Linked DNA regions of Canis lupus familiaris. The protein of the gene in region 1 interacts with the protein of each later gene in a pairwise test. Links are inferred from orthologs where the notes say so. Each region holds a gene or a part of one and is shown in the gene's direction. Other genes may lie near its edges.

The links.
Region 2: the proteins of ISCU (region 1) and NUP62 interact in binary tests that used the Homo sapiens proteins (3 or more experiments, as listed by UniProt). The two-hybrid records come from large-scale screens. The link is inferred for Canis lupus familiaris from reciprocal best matches to the Homo sapiens genes ISCU and NUP62.
Region 3: the proteins of ISCU (region 1) and HPRT1 interact in binary tests that used the Homo sapiens proteins (3 or more experiments, as listed by UniProt). The two-hybrid records come from large-scale screens. The link is inferred for Canis lupus familiaris from reciprocal best matches to the Homo sapiens genes ISCU and HPRT1.
Region 4: the proteins of ISCU (region 1) and NECAB2 interact in binary tests that used the Homo sapiens proteins (3 or more experiments, as listed by UniProt). The two-hybrid records come from large-scale screens. The link is inferred for Canis lupus familiaris from reciprocal best matches to the Homo sapiens genes ISCU and NECAB2.

What each region holds. Positions count from the first base shown.
Region 1 is NC_049247.1:18,660,569-18,664,838, reverse strand, and holds the start of ISCU (iron-sulfur cluster assembly enzyme ISCU, mitochondrial), read left to right. Parts: upstream 1-1,438; 5' UTR 1,439-1,486; coding exon 1,487-1,600; intron 1,601-2,991; coding exon 2,992-3,105; intron 3,106-3,994; coding exon 3,995-4,105; intron 4,106-4,270. Other genes in the region: SART3 (squamous cell carcinoma antigen recognized by T-cells 3), read right to left, coding at 1-379.
Region 2 is NC_049222.1:107,311,020-107,315,123, forward strand, and holds the start of NUP62 (nuclear pore glycoprotein p62), read left to right. Parts: upstream 1-1,273; 5' UTR 1,274-1,406; exon of another isoform or gene 1,407-1,624; intron 1,625-4,104. UniProt on the Homo sapiens protein: Essential component of the nuclear pore complex. The N-terminal is probably involved in nucleocytoplasmic transport.
Region 3 is NC_049260.1:106,044,701-106,048,863, forward strand, and holds the start of HPRT1 (hypoxanthine-guanine phosphoribosyltransferase), read left to right. Parts: upstream 1-1,334; 5' UTR 1,335-1,483; coding exon 1,484-1,510; intron 1,511-4,163. UniProt on the Homo sapiens protein: Converts guanine to guanosine monophosphate, and hypoxanthine to inosine monophosphate. Transfers the 5-phosphoribosyl group from 5-phosphoribosylpyrophosphate onto the purine.
Region 4 is NC_049226.1:68,838,554-68,842,762, reverse strand, and holds the start of NECAB2 (N-terminal EF-hand calcium-binding protein 2), read left to right. Parts: upstream 1-1,369; coding exon 1,370-1,585; intron 1,586-3,830; coding exon 3,831-3,855; intron 3,856-4,209. UniProt on the Homo sapiens protein: May act as a signaling scaffold protein that senses intracellular calcium.

The sequences.
Region 1 (4,270 bases):
CCGAAGCTGCGGCCGCCGTCGCCATCTTGCGCTTCCAGTGACTCCCGGGTCTTCTCGCGGCCGCCGAAGACCCGCTGAAGTAGAGGCTGCCCGCGGCGGGCGCCTGACCAAAATTCCGCTCTCCCGGCCACCGAAAGGGAAACCGTGAACCTCGAGTGACGGGAAAACCTCGGAATGCATGGAATTTCGTGTTGCTTTCACATGGGTGTAAAGGTGCTCGCAGAGAAAAAGCTCCCCAACACGGCATGTGTTCCGTTGCAACTTCGGGCAGAAGTTGGGTCTTTGCACCGGAAGTGGGGGCCGTAGAGGAAGTCGCGGGGCGATGATTGAAGTCAACGGTTTGGCGCCATCTTGAGAAGGTCAAAAGGAATCTTGGCATAAACGCCCGTCTTCCCGCCTAACCCGACCCGGAGCTTGGTTCAGCGTCCCCAGCATCTGAGCCTCAAACGAGGAAAAAAGCCTCCAAGTCTTCAGGGAAGGATCGATCACACCCCTCACGAGAAAACCCGTTTCCCAAAGAGATTCCTCCCCTTTACGTAATACCTGGTGCCTAAGTAAGCATTAAATACACGTGTGAGGTTTCTGGTCTTATAGGATCCTATTCTGCAAACCGGTATTAATAAATTTCATGACTAAGCGTTTCTTTGGAAACCCTTCATTTCCAGGCATTGTCACCTAAGTAGGTCAGTTTGCTGCCTTATGAGAAGAGAAATAGATGCAGGCATATACATATACAATCAGGGTATGGCGTGTTCGTTTCCTCAATTAAGCTCCATTTTTGAGGTAGGAAAATACTGTTTGCTCGTTGCATTTCTCCCTCGTTAGTGAGGTTCATTATGTCGGGAACTCATGTGTTTTTCTTTTTCTTGCATGCCCGAAGCCTAGTACAGCGCCTTGACACACGGTAGGTAGGTACTCAAGTCGTACTTGCTCAATGCATGAATTGTCCTTGAATTAGTACAAAAGCGGGGATCGAAGCTTGAAGAGATGATGTCATAAGCCTAGGGCCACGCAGTGGAGAAGGTGCAGAATCAGGATTTTTAACCCAGGATTGCCCTTCTTTGAATCCCAACGGAGTCTGTCTGGGCAACCTTGGACAAGTTACTAAACCGGTCTGACCCTCAACTTCCCAAGCTGCACATGAGGTTCAAAGTAGACTGGCTGATCCGCCGCGCCGGACGCTGGCGACAGGGCTCCGCGAACACAGACCTGGGCCCCCACGCCCGCCGGCGGACACCGCCGCCCCACGCCGGGTCGACAACGCCGCACTCGCGAGCCCTCCAGCTTCAGGCTTTTAGTTCGGCGTCCCGCCCACCCCGGGGGCGTGGTCCAGACGCGGCCAGAGGCGGACACGTGCACCGAGCGCGAGGACGCAGGCGCGAAGTCGCGGTGACGTAACGGGCGCGCGCTCCAAGCCGGAGCCGACTCGCGGGCGCGCTCCCCCCCTCCGCCTCGCACTCGGCCTGCGCAGGCGCAAGCCCGGAAGATGGCGGCGGCTGGGGCTGGCCGTCTGAGGCGGGCGGCGTCGGCCTTGCTGCTCCGGAGCCCGCGCCTGCCTGCCCGGGAACTGTCGGCTCCCGCCCGGCTCTACCACAAGAAGGTAGGGACGGCTGACGGGATGCGCGAGGCCCGCGATGGCAGTGGGGCGGGAGGGCGAGGACCGCCGAGGGGGCCCGGGGACGCCGGCGCTCCGCGGAGGCCCGGCCTGAGGAGGCGCGGCCGCGGGGGCCTCCTCCTGCGGCCGGGCTACGGGCCTCCCTCTCGCGAGACTCGGACCGGACGAGGCTTCCCTCGCTGCGCCGTGACTGCCCGCGCCGCGGCCGGCGGGCGGCGCCCCGGGGAGGGCGACCCTCTGGGACCCGCCACCGACGCCCCCCGGCGCGGGCTGCGGCTTCAGCGGGGGCCGCCGCTACCCGGATGGCCTCGGGCAAGTCCGTGCCCTGCGTCGGGCCTGTTTTCCCCGTCGGTAAAATGGGGACTCAGGCAGCAGCCCCCTCAACGGGAGCCCGCCCGGTGGAAATCACTTAGGGTGCAGTTACTGGTGGAGGAGTTCGTAGGATGCATAATCAGCAGGCATAAGGTTCTAAATTCTTTTTTTTTTTTATTTTTTTCTGGCGGGGGGCGTCGGGGAGTGGAGGTAGGTGCGTAGTTCGCAGCCCTGGCCTTCCGAGGCCGTCGAGTCCCCTAGACCTGAAACGTCCCCGCTCGGGAAACGACTAAGGAACGCGGTGAATCCGCGTGAGGCCGACAGTCCGGACGGGGTCCTGTCCTACAGGTCCTCGCGCTTGGAGTCGAAATCCGTGGTCAGATGGGAAAAGAGACGGGAAGATGGGGTCACTTAGGGCCGCTGGGACACAAGCTCCGAGGCTCCCTTAAAGCCTTTGCGTGCCGTGCGGGTCAGCTGTGCCGGTCGCGGCTTCGGCGGGACCCCGCCCCTCCCCTACCGGGGGGTGTGTTCTGTTGACGGTACACGCGCTCCACGCCCGGGCGCTGCGAGCCTCGCAGCCTGCAGGGCGCGCTGCTCCCCCCGACGGATGGCCCGGCCCTGAAGCTGGCGGGAGGACGGGTCTCGTTGTAGCCTAACAAATAGACACCTTCCGTAGCACTGCTCCTCGTGTGACGTTCTCCTCGAGGCTTCTGGGAAGCCCTTTGATTGCTGGACCGTACTTATTTTTTGGATCCCAAATCTGGTGACTTAGGCGGTGAAGATCAGGTAATTATTTGTGACTAAAAACCCTATGGAGTTAAGGCATGATTTTTGCCGATTTTTTTCTCCAGGAACTCCTTATCTCTGAAGGTAACTGGAGAAGAGGTACGAAAAAGATTGGTTCATAAAGTCTCATTGACAGGAGCGTAAGCCTTCCTCCCCAGGTGACATTTGCTATTTAGGGACAGCCTGACAGGTTCAGCCTGCTGACTTAACATCGAGTTGGGGAGACCCGTAACAAAAAAAAGAGGGATGGTGCATTTCTCTTAACCTTCTCGTTGCAGGTTGTTGATCATTATGAAAATCCTAGAAACGTGGGGTCCCTTGACAAGACATCAAAAAATGTTGGAACTGGATTGGTGGGGGCTCCAGCATGTGGTGACGTAATGAAATTGCAGGTACCGCTGGTTTTCATCCTTAGTGGTAATGACAGCAATCCCTTTGCTCACACAGTGCTTCGCTGTTGACAAAGCATTTGCAAGCACAGCTCTCCATTTGGTCTCTGTCTGGATTCCTGTGAGATGGTGGGATGGGTCAATGTTATTGATTATTAGGGTAGGGACTAAATCTTAGTTCTCCTTTCCCGCACACTGTGCTGACCCTTTAGGTGTCACTTTTCTACTCTATCAGTTTAAATTCCAACTCCAGCTAAGAAGAAAGTTTTGTGAATTTTACTGGTGAAAGGAAAACCACAACCATTCAGTTAGCAGTCCCCAGTGAGACAGGAAATACCACATATCAAGCTCCCCCCCCCAAAGTGGAAACAACACAAAGATAGTAACTGGCACTTTGAGTAAACCTGTACCTTTGTCCACATCTTCATCATGGTGAGGGGACAGCTTGCTGGAGGTCTTCATGCCTGCCTTGGAAAACAGAAGGCAGGAGGGAACCACTAGATGTCATTTCATGCCAGACTATAAAGCACTCACCAGAGACGGTTATTGCAGACTCCCCCCAGTGTGTAAAGATGCAGACGGAATGAGTAGCCAGGAGCAGAACTTCATAGCCAAAAAGCAGACTAGGGTTGCAAAACAAAAAAATGGGTAGGGGCATATTTTTTGTCTTATCTTTACCAGATTAGGCCTGTATCATTTTGGTGATCGTTCCTACATTTGATTCTTCATCACTGAGCCCTTTTGACAAAGCAAATTCAGTAATTAATGTCAAAACTTAAGGTGTGGAAAGCAAGACCAAAGCCCTTGAGGAGAGCCCCCAGTGAACCCCCGTAAATGCAGGATCTATGAGGTGGCATCAGGAACCACTGCTTAACACCTGTCTTTTTTCTAGATTCAAGTGGATGAAAAGGGGAAGATTGTGGATGCCAGGTTTAAAACATTTGGCTGTGGGTCTGCAATTGCCTCCAGCTCTTTAGCCACTGAATGGGTAAAAGGCAAGACGGTAAGGTTGCTTGTAGATGGACAGAATTAAATCATATTCTCAACAAACCTGCCTCTGAGTTAAGGGAGGGTCTAGTTATGGGGGGGCGGCAGGTTTTTGTTTTTGTTTATAAAATATTCTAAGTTTTTTTTTTAATTTCTCCTACTTCGGCTTTGATTAAATTCT
Region 2 (4,104 bases), on another chromosome or scaffold:
TGGCTCAGCGGTTTAGCGCCGCCTTCAGCCCAGGGCCTGATCCTGGAGACTCGGGATCAAGTCCCACGTCGGGCTCCCTGCATGGGGCCTGCTTCTCCTTCTGCCTGTGTCTCTGCCTCTCTCTCTCTCCTCTCTGTGTATTCTTATGAATAAATAAATAAAATCTTTTAAAAAAAATTTCAATCCCAGGAGAATTTTCTTCCAGCCACACCCCTTCCTCTAAAGTATTTCCTTTAGGCTCCATCCCATCTAAACACTCGGCTCAAAAATCAGCTCCCAGGGATCCCTGGGTGGCGCAGCGGTTTAGCGCCTGCCTTTGGCCCAGGGCGCGATCCTGGAGACCCGGGATCGAATCCCACGTCGGGCTCCTGGTGCATGGAGCCTGCTTCTCCCTCTGCCTGTGTTTCTGCCTCTCTCTGTGTGACTATCATAAATAAAAATTAAAAAAAAAAAAATCAGCTCCCAGGGGAATTCCCCCAGCCCTGCCCCTCCAAACCGTGGTCTACTAAGTCCCACGGCTTCTTTTTAGCTTCGCGGTGACCGCCCCAGTCCCTTCCCGTCCAATTACCTTAGCCCCCCACTTCATTCCCGGGGATACCCCAGAGGCCCCGCCTTCTCTCCGTTGAAACCCCACCCCAGGTAAATTTGCTTAACCACGCCCCTTCTCACGATAGACCCCCGCCCACCCGTCGCAGCCGCTGATCCTAGCTCCACCCCCCTCCTTACAGGTGGCCTCTAAGCCTCGCCTTCCGCCCTGTCAATCTGAGTCAGCCCCACCCAACCCCGCCCCAGCAGGTGCCCGAATGAAACATAAATTGTGTTGTGCGCATGAGCAAGGTGGAGCTCGGAGACGGGAGCCGGCCGGCGGAGCCACACGCCTCTCTCGCAGGGCTAAAGCGCATGCTCTGCCACTGATCCAATTGTTCTCTCAGGCCTGCGGGGTTGGGGAGTCAGTGCGCATGTGCAGCTGCTTACTGCCCGCCCTTCACTCAAAAAATACGGAGTCTGGTGGGCTTGTGCACGTGAGCAACCGCTCGCGGACAGACTCATTCGGGGAGCGGGGGGCGACCCCCGCTCGGGGCTAGTGCGCAGGCGCACTGCGTGCAGGCCATCTTTAAACTCCAGCATTCTAGGGAAGAACGTACCCTTCCCCCACTGGACCGAATGCGCATGCTCGGCCGCGTGCCAACGACGCGTTTCCCTCTTCTGCGCCTGCGCGACCGTGATTCCTCACTCTCGTCTCCCCACCCCCCAGGCCTGGTCGTGAAGGCCGCGAGCTTCGAAAGGGCGGGAAAGGCGGTTGGAGAGGGAGGGGCGAGCGGTTACTCACTCCATGGCTACGGAAAGGAGAGGCGGCGGCAGCCTCAGCTGAAGAAAAGAAGGCGGTAGAGAAGAGCGCAAGCGCGGTGAGCGCGGAAACGGGCCGGGACACGGAGGGGTCGCGGCTACAGAGCCATAGCCGGGGTTGGGCGGGCGGAGATGGCGTCTCGGTAGCCTGAGAGGAGATTGTGATCTGTGGATGGGGAATGAGGCGGCCCCGGGGAGTGGGGACAGATATACAGGGGATGGCGCAGCACGGCCTCCCCGGATCCATCCGCGCCCCGCCCCGCCAGGCCCCAACCGGGAGGCGGGCCTGGCCTCTCCTCTCGGGAATCCTGGAATCCACTCCCCTCCTCCTCCCGACGCGGAGTTAGGCCTTTTCCTTCCTCTGACCCGGGGACCAGCTCCGTCTTCCTACCCCAGGGGTTCCGGCCCCCGTCCTCCTTCCAACTCTGGGGTCCTGTTCTCTGTCTCTCTGACTCAGGTCCCCTCCCCCCCAATTCTAGGGATTCGATCCCTCGCCTTCTCTGAGACCTGCCCTAGTTCACTTTTGGTTTCTTTTGCCCTAGTTCTCGAATTTCCGGCCAGCCACATGCTGGACTCCTATCCCCAAACTGCCGCCCCACGCTAAGAACCCTTTTTGTGGGTTAGACTCTTGTCTGAGTCACAATGAGACCGCGCGCGCCGTTCAAATCTCAGACCTGCGATGGTGGCCAAATAATCAAGTTCTCTAGTCTCGTAGATCGAGAACTGCCTGTAAAATGAAGAAAATAATCAACTCTGCCTGATGAGAATCAAGTCGATGCCTGTGAAACCCAGAGCCCGGCTCTTAATTGCCTATTTAATGTATCTTATTTTTAATAGGAACTCTGGGGTTGAGTCTCAACCATACCTCCTGCCCTGGCAAGATCCCCAGACATTTGACCATACAATAGCTGCTAGTAGGTCATTCTTGTGTCTTCTTCACTTCTTCAAGGTGTCAGTAATTGCCAGACATCCCCACCTTTCCCTGTTCCAGATGATGGACGCTCACCCGCAACACCAGCACAGTTGCAGAGAAGCAGGCATCATCACCCTGACTGTAGCTTTTCTCCATCCTCTGCCCACCTCCCATCAGCCCTTATCCTTAGCCCTCCTTTCAGGCCAGTTGGTTCTGCTTCAGCTGCCCCCCACTGGATCAGTTTACCAACCCTGCCCCAAAATAGGGAGATCTGCACTGCCCTTTGCTAAAAGAGAGGGGGCTTCCTGGCCATTCCCTCCTATGCACTAGACCCTCCACTGGCCCAAGTGGGTATGGGTCTTTACTTCCCACCTTGCATCTGTCCACAGCAGGACACCTAGAGTTCAACTTAACATCACGGGTGGTGGTTCTGAGGTCCAGAGAAGGTGGGGGAACTCTGATCTTGAGACTTATTTGGGAATGAAGATAGCAGGCTTCAGTTGCATGCAGGAAGTCCTTCTTGGGATCTGACCACTTTCACTTAGAGCACTTACTGTGTACTGTGCCAGTATTTGAAGATTTGACCTATAGGGGCTAGGTTATTACCTAGGCAGCATGAGTAGCAGTTAAGTGCAGACTCTGGCGCCCAGTTTTGGGTTCAGACCTTGTCTCTACTCCACTTATTAGCTTACTGTCAATTTCTTTTTTTCCCTGTGCCTCGGTTTCCACTACGTTCAAATCTCAGACCTGTGATGGTGGCTACATTATTTTATCGCTACGTTTCTATTAACTCCATATAGAAACTTAGCGATACATGTGGCAGCTAACAGTGCTTACTTCTGGGGTGCCTGGCTGGCTCAGGCGTGTGACTCTTGATCTTCAGGTTGTGAGTTTGAGCCCCACATCAGAAGTAGAGTTTACTTAAAGAAATAGTGCCAGGCAGCCTGGGTGGCTCAGCGGTTTAGCGCCACCTTCAGCTCAGGGCCTGCCTGTTCCTGGAGACCTGGGATCGAGTCCCACATTGGGCTCCCAGCATATGGAGCCTGCTTCTCCCTCTGCGTGTGTCTCTGCCTTTCCCGGTGTCTCTCATGAATGGATAAATAAAATCTTAAATAATAATAATAATAATAATAAGTAGTGCCTACTTAGTACTGTCACAAGGATTCAATGAGTTAATTCATAATTCAGGTCAAGCATTTAGATTAGTCCTCCTTTCTGCCCCCCCAAATCTTAAGTCTTCTAAAAACATCTAGTATGTACACATGGACTAGGCAATTTAAGTAAATTTTTATTTTAGAATAATTTTATTTTTGGGCAGCTCCAGTGCCCCAGCGGTTTAGCACTGCCTTCAGCCCGAGGTGTGATCCTGGAGACCCAGGATCGAGACCCACGTCGGGCTTCCTGCATGGAGCCTGCTTCTCCCTCTGCCTGTGTCTCTTCCTCTGTGTGTGTGTGTGTTGGTCATGAATAAATAAATTAAAAATCTTTAAAAAAAATTTTTTTTTATTTTTACAGAAAAGTTACAAACATAGTGCGGAGAGTTTCCATATACCCCACATCCATTTTCCCTGTTGTTGACCTCTTTAACATTTCTGTGATATATTTGTCACAACTAAAGAACCCACGTCGGTATGGGATTTTAAAGTGCACACCTCATTTTGATATTCTGATTTCACTAGTTGTTTTTGTTTTTGTAGATATTTACTTTAGAGAGCACAGGCAGGGGGAACAGCAGAGGGAGAAGCAGGCTCCCCACTGAGCAAGGAGCCCTACCCAGGGCTTGATTCCAGGACCTTGGGATCATGACCTGAGCAGAAGGCAGATGCTTAACCAACTGAGCCACC
Region 3 (4,163 bases), on another chromosome or scaffold:
CCCACGTCGGGCTCCTGGTGCATGGAGCCTGCTTCTCCCTCTGCCTGTGTCTCTGCCTCTCTCTCTCTCTCTGTGACTATCATAAAAAAAAAATTAAAAAAAAATTATCTTCATTTGACATATAAGGAAACTGAGGCACACAGAGGCCGAGGATCCTGCTCAAGGTATAACACTAGCTAGTGGTGAACTCAACTCAGGATTTAAACTCAGATCTCAGTCCAAACCCCACATGTACCTTTTCCATTATAGTCTGTTATCACTCCATGATAGATAGGGGAGGCAGAAAAACTCAGACACTATGGTGTTCCCAGACTCATACACGATAAAATCACAACTGCTATTCTTTCTTGGGCACCTACTACGAGGCAAGTAGTATGCTAGGTGCTTTACATAAGTGATTTTTACAATTCTCACAATAAACCTTCATAGGAAGAATTATTCTCATTTTTTTTATGAAGGCTCAGAGTTCAATGACGCCCAGGTTCACAAATCTCTTACCATCACATATCCTCAGTGGCCCTAATAGAGGACACCTAGCATGCGCTGGGCACTCTGGTGGGTGCCGGAGCTGTAGGAACGGCAGGAATGGAACAACTGTTATTTGCTTACCTGACTTACGTGAGACTAGGGGAGGATCCCCCCTCAACCCGCCCCAATTCCAAACAGGAATTTGTGGAGGCAAAAATAAAGATCAGTAATAGCAACGGTTCCCACTTCCTGATTATGCAATGTCCTAGGTACTGTGCCGTCTACATGCGTATGCGCACACAGATGCCGCGTCTAATCCTCACAACAATCCCGTTAATATCCTCACTTTACTGAGACGAAAAGAGGCTCAGGAAGTCTGATTCGCACAAGGTCACAGAGCAGTAAGGTGTCCCCCGCCGGATGTGTACCCTGATCTGCTCACCCTAGGGCTCCTAGGTCTGAACTCACACACCCTGTTAAAGTTTTTTGGTAGAACTGGGCCACCAGTCGGGCAAACGGAATCCGCAATGCGGTCCAAGGTCTTGGGAAGGAGACGCCGGGCGAGAGGAGCACGTGGTGACTGCAAGCGGAAGAGCCGGAGCCCAGTTTAGCGCACTGGGAAGAAGGCGGCGACAGGTCTGGGAATCCTGGAGCCGGAGGTCCCGCTGGGAGACCCAGGGAAAACGGGACACAGGATGCGCGCTAGGAGTCGCCGCTTCTTCCGGAGGAAAATTCCCACCTCGTGCGCTTGGAAACCCGCAGGCGCCGGCGGAGACTACCGGGCGGCCTGTGGGCGGAGCCGGGGGCGGGGCGGAGCCGGGGGCGGGGCGAGCCGGGGCGGGGCCTGTTAGGCTCGGCTTGGCGGCGGCGGCGGCCTAGAGCGCAACGGCAGAGCAAATCTCTCCGCTTTCCCGCGGGTCGCCGCCTTCTGCAGGAGAACCTCCGCCTCCTCTGCTGCAACGCCGGCTTCCTCCTGTTCAGGCTGCCGTCAGCCCCCGCGCCCGCCGGCTTCGTAATGGCGACCCGCAGCCCCAGCGTCGTGGTGAGCAGTTTGGCCCGCCCGGCCGTGGCGGCGGCTGGCGGCCCCTGAGGCGCGCGGCCCGCAGTGCGGCCGCCGGGGCCCGGGGTGGCCCGGGGAAGCCCGGAGGGGCGGGAGGCGGCCGCTGCGTCCCGGCTCGGGCTTTACGTCACGCAGGGCGGCGTGGGAGACGGATGGCGAGGTGTGGGGTGGGTGCCCCGGGACATGCCCGGCCTGGAGGGCTGCGTGTGGGAGGAGAGGGTGGAAATGGCGTTTTGGTTGACTTGTGCCGCTGGGGAGCGTGCTGCGGGGAGGGGCCCGCGGGCCAGTTTGGGGATGATCTGGCGCGCCGCGCGGGTCGGGGGGGGGGGGTGCGTTTTTTCGGAGAGGCCCTTCTCTAAACTGGGGGTATGCTGCCCAGGCCCTGTGTAGAGGGTCCAGGCATGGAATGACCACATAGGGCACGCAGAGACTGGCATTTGCACCCAGTTCCGCAAATACCATAATGACTGTGCGAATGCGCATTGCCTGGTCGAATCCTCACAGCAACCTTGGTAGCGGTAACCATACCTACCTTTTTGCATACAAGGAAATACTGAGACGATATTAGGTAATTTTCCCACGGCCCAGAGGTATCCAGGTCTCGAAATCAGATAAGCCTCAATCTGGATCCTATGCTCTTTGATCCTACAGGGACAAAAAATGCGAATCTGGTCCTTACCTTCAAGGACATTCATACCATCATCAATCAGCCTCTGGTATCTTGTCTCCAACCTCATTGGTTCTTTTTGTTTCTCGAACAAACCAAGCTGCATCGCACCCCCCACCTTTCCGATCATGCTTGCTAAAATGGCCAACACCCCTGCCAAACAGTTAGATGCCTTCGTCTGCATCGTCATCGTCATCGTCATATTATTTTCACAGTTACCCAATTACCTGTTGATCGTCTCTCATTAATCATAAACTTTATAAGGTCAGGGACCACCACTGTATTCCCAGCACATAGGATGGTGCCTGGCATGTAATAAATTCTCAATAATGGTTTGTTAAATGATTAAATTAAATAATTAATCCTTTAAGCCCTTAAAAAGGAAGGATTCTGTTGATATTAGGCAATGTGGCTTAAGGTAAAGACCAATGCTCTTAATGGAGTTAGGCCTGGAATCCTGCTTGTTTGGGCTATTTACTAGCTGTGTGGCCTTGGGTAACTTACATCACCTTTCTGAGCTAAAGTGTCTTTAATGTATTGCTGAGGTGCTAGCTGCCACTTGGTGTTACTGAAAAGATTGTAAGACTGTCTGCAGTCTGAACAACCTTTCCATGGTCCTTGACTGGGAATAGTAATAGTAGCTATCATTGTGTTTACCGATATAGTCCTATTTAGTCCTCAAAACAACCCTGTAACAATAGCATGATGATTTTTTCCAGTTTTATTTATTTATTAGAGAGGGGAGGTGGGGAGAGAGCCTCAAGCAGATTCCCTGATAAGCAGGGAGCCTAATGCTGCTGGATCCAGGACTCTTGAGATGAATTAGCATGATTATGACCATTTTACAGAGGAGGAATCTTTGAAGCCTCGGAGAGGGTAATTTAACCTCTCACTATACCCACATGGCACATTTATAAAGAGGAACTCAGACTCAAACCTAGGTCTCTCTCAAGAGCCTATGCTTAAAATGGTACACTAATAGTGGGTGCTCAAAAAATGGTGGGCGCTGTTGTTTTTATTCAGTTGCTGAGGAAGTTAGATACTTTTAACTTTGGGGTATAATGCCTGCCCCAGCACACAGTGAATTATTTTTGTTAGAACTACTAGTTTTGTTTCAACATTAAGATCTTCATTGTGTTTTTGGTTTGCAAATTCCTGTTCCTTTTTTTATTTCCTTCCCAGAAATTCTCTGCATGTTAGTAATAACAAACACTCATATAGTGTTTACTATGTGCTGGTTTCTTTTCTAAGCCCTTTAGGTATAATTAACTGGTTTGATATTTTTAATTTATTTTTGATTTTTCAATGATTTTTAAATAATTAAAAAAAAAGATTTCATTTATTTGACCGAGAACAAGCTAGCACAAGCAGGGGGAGTGGCAGGGAGAGGGAGAAGCAGGAGCAGGCTCCCTGCTGAGCAGGGAGCCAGACATGGGGCTCTATCCCCAGACCCTGGGATCATGACCTGAGGCAAAGGCAAATGCTTAACCGACTTAGCCACTTAGGTGCCCTGGTTTGATATTTTTACTTATTTATTTGACAGAGAATGAGAGAGCACAAGAAGGGGAAGCAGCAGGTAGAGGGAGAGGAAGAAGCAGGCAACCTGCTCAGGGAGCTTCAGCTCATGACCTGAGCTGAAGGCAGATGCTTAACCAACTGAGCAGGCACCCCATGGTTTGATATTTTTAAATTTAAAAAGAAATTTATGTGGCTCAGAGAGAGTAAGTAACTTACCCAAGATCACCCAGCAATGCTAGGATTTGAATCTAAGTTATCTGGCCTGAATCTGCTCTTAACCTCTCCATTTTTAAGTTAGTAGTAACAATAGTAGGTATTTATTTAGTATTTACTATGTCTTAGGCATTGAAGTAAGTATTTTGCAGATATTACCTAGTGTAAACGTCCCAGAGTTACAAAATAGGTTTGCTATGAGGTAGGTAAACACTAGCATGACCTTGGAAGCACAGA
Region 4 (4,209 bases), on another chromosome or scaffold:
GGGGAGCCCAGGCTGCCGGGACTCAGACTAGTACCAGGGTGGGAACAGATGCTGCAGGCCAGGGGGGGCAGTGATTTAGGGTGAAAGCTGCTGGTAAGAGCTGGGGTCACCAGGGCCAGCTGAGCCAAGAGGACTCCAGGCTCTACTGCTTCCAGAATCAGGTTCCAATTAAACCCAGTACCTGCCTCCACTCCCGTGTCTGAGGATTCTGTGTGTGGGGAGGGGGCTGGGTGCCCCGGGAAGCACAGGGCCATGTGGGAGGTCCTTGGGATGGGGAGTTTTGTGATAAGGGATGGTGTCCAAGTCTGGGTACAGCTGTGTTAGGGACGTGAGGGGAGGGTGTGTGGGGGGAAGGGTATGCTGGGGGGGCCTTCACAGCCCTGCCCACCCCTCCAGCCTGGCCCCTGACTGTCTCCCACGCTCCCTCCTGGTCTCACTGTCTCTTCAGTCCTTCATGCTCCCTCAGCTCGCGCCGGCCACAGGGCCTTTGCAGGGGCGGGTCTCCCACCCAGGACACTTTACTCTTCTCTCTAACTCCTCTTCCATTGCGGTCACCTAAGGGCCACTTCCTCCAGGCAGCCTCCTCCGTCACCAGGGCAGTCCCGTTGGTGGCCCAAGGTTCCCGGGCGTTCAGAAGTAATAGTTCGTTTGTCTACGGAATCGCTCCCGCAGCCGACTCTGCCCACTTGGACGTAGGTTCCAGGAGGCCGAGGACAGCCACCCCCGCCCCCCCGCAGTCCCATTAGTGGAACCCAGCACCTGGCACGGGCCCTCACTCATCCTTTGGACAGGTGGATGGTGGTGGGTGGGGCGTGAGGGGAAGAGGGTGCTGGGGCGCCGGCCGGGCGCTCGGCTGCGGCAGGGTTGGGGGGCTCGCAGGCCCCGGGCGGGCGGGCGGGCGGGCGGGGGAGGCCGAGCGCGGGGGCGCCGGTTCCTGGAGCTGCCGCCAGCAGGGGGCGCCCCGGGCTCGCCGGACACCTGCGCTCCGGCCCCTGCGTCGGCGCCGCGGGGGGGCCTCGGGGGCTCCGGGAGGGGGCGGCCCCGGGCGAGGCCCGCCCGCGCAGCCCGACGCCCCGACCCCAGGCCTCCCGGGCGCCCCTTCCGTGCGCGGGCTGGGTCCGGGCCCGCAGCGCCCCCCGCGGTTGGCCCCTGCCGCGGCGCCGGGGCGGGGCGGGGCGGGGCGGGGCGGGGGACGCGGGCACGTGGCCGGGGTCCGGGCGAGCGCCCCCCCCGCGGTGGCCGCGGCCGCGGGGCCGAGGGAGGCGGGGCGGGGCGGCGGGGCGGGGAGGGGGCGCGCGGGGGCGGGCCGCGGGCCGGGCGGGGGTCGGCGGGCTTCCGGGCGGCGCGGGCGGGCGGGCGGGCGGGCGCGATGTGCGAGCGGGCGGCGCGCCTGTGCAGGGCCGGCGCGCACAGGCTGCTCCGGGAGCCGCCGCCGCAGGGCCGGGCGCTGGGCGGGCTGCTGCGCTGGGTGGGCGCCAGGATGGGCGAGCCCCGGGCGCCGCTCGCCCCCGCCGCCCCCGCCGCCCCCGGCCCCGCCGCCCCCGGCCCCGGCTCCCCGCGCGGGGGCACCGCGGTCATCCTGGACGTGAGTACGCGCCGGCGGCCCCCGGACCCCGCGCCCGCCCCGCGCCCCCGCCCCGCGCCCCCGCCCCGCGCCCCCGACCCGCGACCCCGCGCCCGCACGCCCCTCCCCTGCCCCCACGCCCCTCCCGCCCCGGCTCGGGATCCCCACCTGCCTGCTCCGAGCCGCGACCCTTCGACCCGGCCACCGCCCCCCTCCCTCGGTCCCGGCTGCGCCCTCGCCCCACCCTCCCCCTCCCGCCCCTGCCGCCTCCCGCCCCCTCCTCTCCACCCCGCCCCAGTCACTACTTCTCCGAGACCCCCTCCCGCCCGGCCCCAGGCTCCGGTGCCCCGACCCATCCTGGCCGCGGACCCGGAGCCCGCGTGTTCCCGCCCCAAAGCCCCCTCCCCGCAGCCAGCAGCTCTTGGAAAGCGAAGCCCCCTCCTGTCCCCCCTCTCAGCGGATCGGGGCCACCCCCGTCTGCGGAGCCTGGACCCTCCAGCCTGAGCCGCGTCAGCCCTTCAGCCCTTCACGCCCGGGGTGGCTCAACCCCCACCCATCCGCCCGGGAGCCGAGCCACCCCCCTCTGGGAAGCCCACCTCCCCCCGCTCCCCCGCCCTCTCCCCAGGAGTGGGAGGAAGCTTCTGCAGGGCGGACCGCTGGGGGAGGGGGCGTCGGGGAGGGCGAGGCGGTGGGGGCCCTGCCCCGGGCACCACCCCACCTCCCGACAGCCTGGCCGCGGCCACAGGACGTGCTTGTCCCGGGGAGGGTCCTGGGCTCCTGGGGCTTCTGGGACAGTTGTGTCTGCAGGTCTGATTGTTAGGGGGAGCGTGGATCTCCTCTCCCCCTTCCTTCCTCTCTCCTGGAACCCACAGTTGGCCCTGGGCAGAGAGGGCTGGGCAGGGAAGGGGGAGCTGGGCGGTGGGGTGCTGGAGGCTGCCCCCAGAGACATGCAGGCACGCGCACACGCACACACACTCTTGCACAGCCAGATCCTCTCTCAGGTCCCCCACAGAGTTCGTGCGGGGAAAACCGGGGCCACCCTTGCAGGGAAGCCCTGTCCAGACCCTTCCCGTTCCCAGCAGTGCGGGCAGGAGGCTCGGGGTCCTCCTGGTGCGGGTGCGGGTGCGCTCCGAGACTCCTCTATCTAGGAGATGGAGCGATGAGTGGGGGTGGGGAGCGGACTCCTGGAGCCACCTTAGGTGGTCTGCACCATTCACTTGCTTGGCGTGGCCAGTGTGGGCACCTGCGGGGGGGACCCCAGCCCCAGAGAACTTTGCAGTGGGGAGCTGGGGTGTGGAGTGCCCAGGCGGGCAATGGGTGCTCTGCTAGTCTCCCTTCTGCCCCAGCCACGGCAGCTCCTGCTCGAGCACCCCCAGCTAGGGTTTCAGCTGAGGGAAGAGGGGGGTGATGTGTAGGAAGCCCTTTCTGAGCTGCTGCTTCAGTTTGTCACAGTCTCGAGTACTTGAAGGGATGGGGGGGACATCTGTCCTTGGCCCCAGGGCAAGCACCAAAGGTCAGATGGTCAGAGGGGTTAGTGCCTCCCCCTGCTCCTTCTGTTCACCTGTGGCTCACCTTCTTCTAAAAATACCAGGAGGACTTATCTGGTCTCAGCTCAGGTTTGGGGGGGGTGGCTGTCACTCCCCCATCCCTCCCCCACCCCCTCCCCATGCAGCCAGAACCTGGCACCTGCAGCTGGCTTTCTGAGCTCTTCACGGCCTGCTTCCACCCACTCCCCCACCTGAAAAATAATCCAGTGCTGCCCCTGGCTGGCCCAGTTGCCAGGCCTGGAGGTTCCCTTAGCAGACCTCTCTGTTGACACTAAACCAACCTCCGTGGGGGGAAATCGGGGCTCCCACGGGCTTCCGAGAGGGGTGCAGCGGTATGAGGCGTGTGGTTGTGTCCGTGGGACACAGATTCCCATTGTGTGACTGAGCGTAGCACAGTGGGTGAGGCCGCGTGGACTGCTGGCTCTGCAAGCACACCCGCAAGCATGTGGATCGGTGTGAGCGTGTGTGTCCACGTGTGTGTGCGCATGTCGGCACAGAAGAAGAGTGGGTGCTGCTTCCTCGCAGGCGCCTGGGAAGGCTGTGCCTGAAGCATCCCTCCTGCCCTGGATCCCAGCGGGGGCCTCCTGGGGGAGGGGCTGCTCAGCTTCCCAGGTCCCCCTGCACCACCCCCAGGCGTGGGATCTCAAGATGAGTTGGGAGTCACTGGAGGGCGCCTGCCCCTCTGGGGCCCAGGCTGACTCCACTTCTCTTCTCTGCAGATTTTCCGCCGGGCGGACAAAAATGGTGAGTTTCCCTCCCAGGCTGTCCCCTGAACAAGGTCCTGGCTCTTTCTATCCTCACGCTTCGGGGGCAGGGACCCGGGCTTGGGACATGGACCGCCTTGTACGTGATGGTTTCTGAAGTCAAGAAAGCCGAATCCTGGCTCTGCCCTGTGCCTCAGTTTCCCTGTCTCACAGTGGAATTACACATAGTTCCTGCTTGGTAGGGATGCCACAGGGATTCAAGGAGTTGGTGTCTGTGATGCCAGGATGTCTTGCACATAGTAGGTGCTTGGTGTACTTCAGCCCTCATGCCGCTGGGCTGGAGCAGCCCGGGTAGGGGGTGCCTAGGGAGCACCCTTGAAGGAAGCCCTCAGCC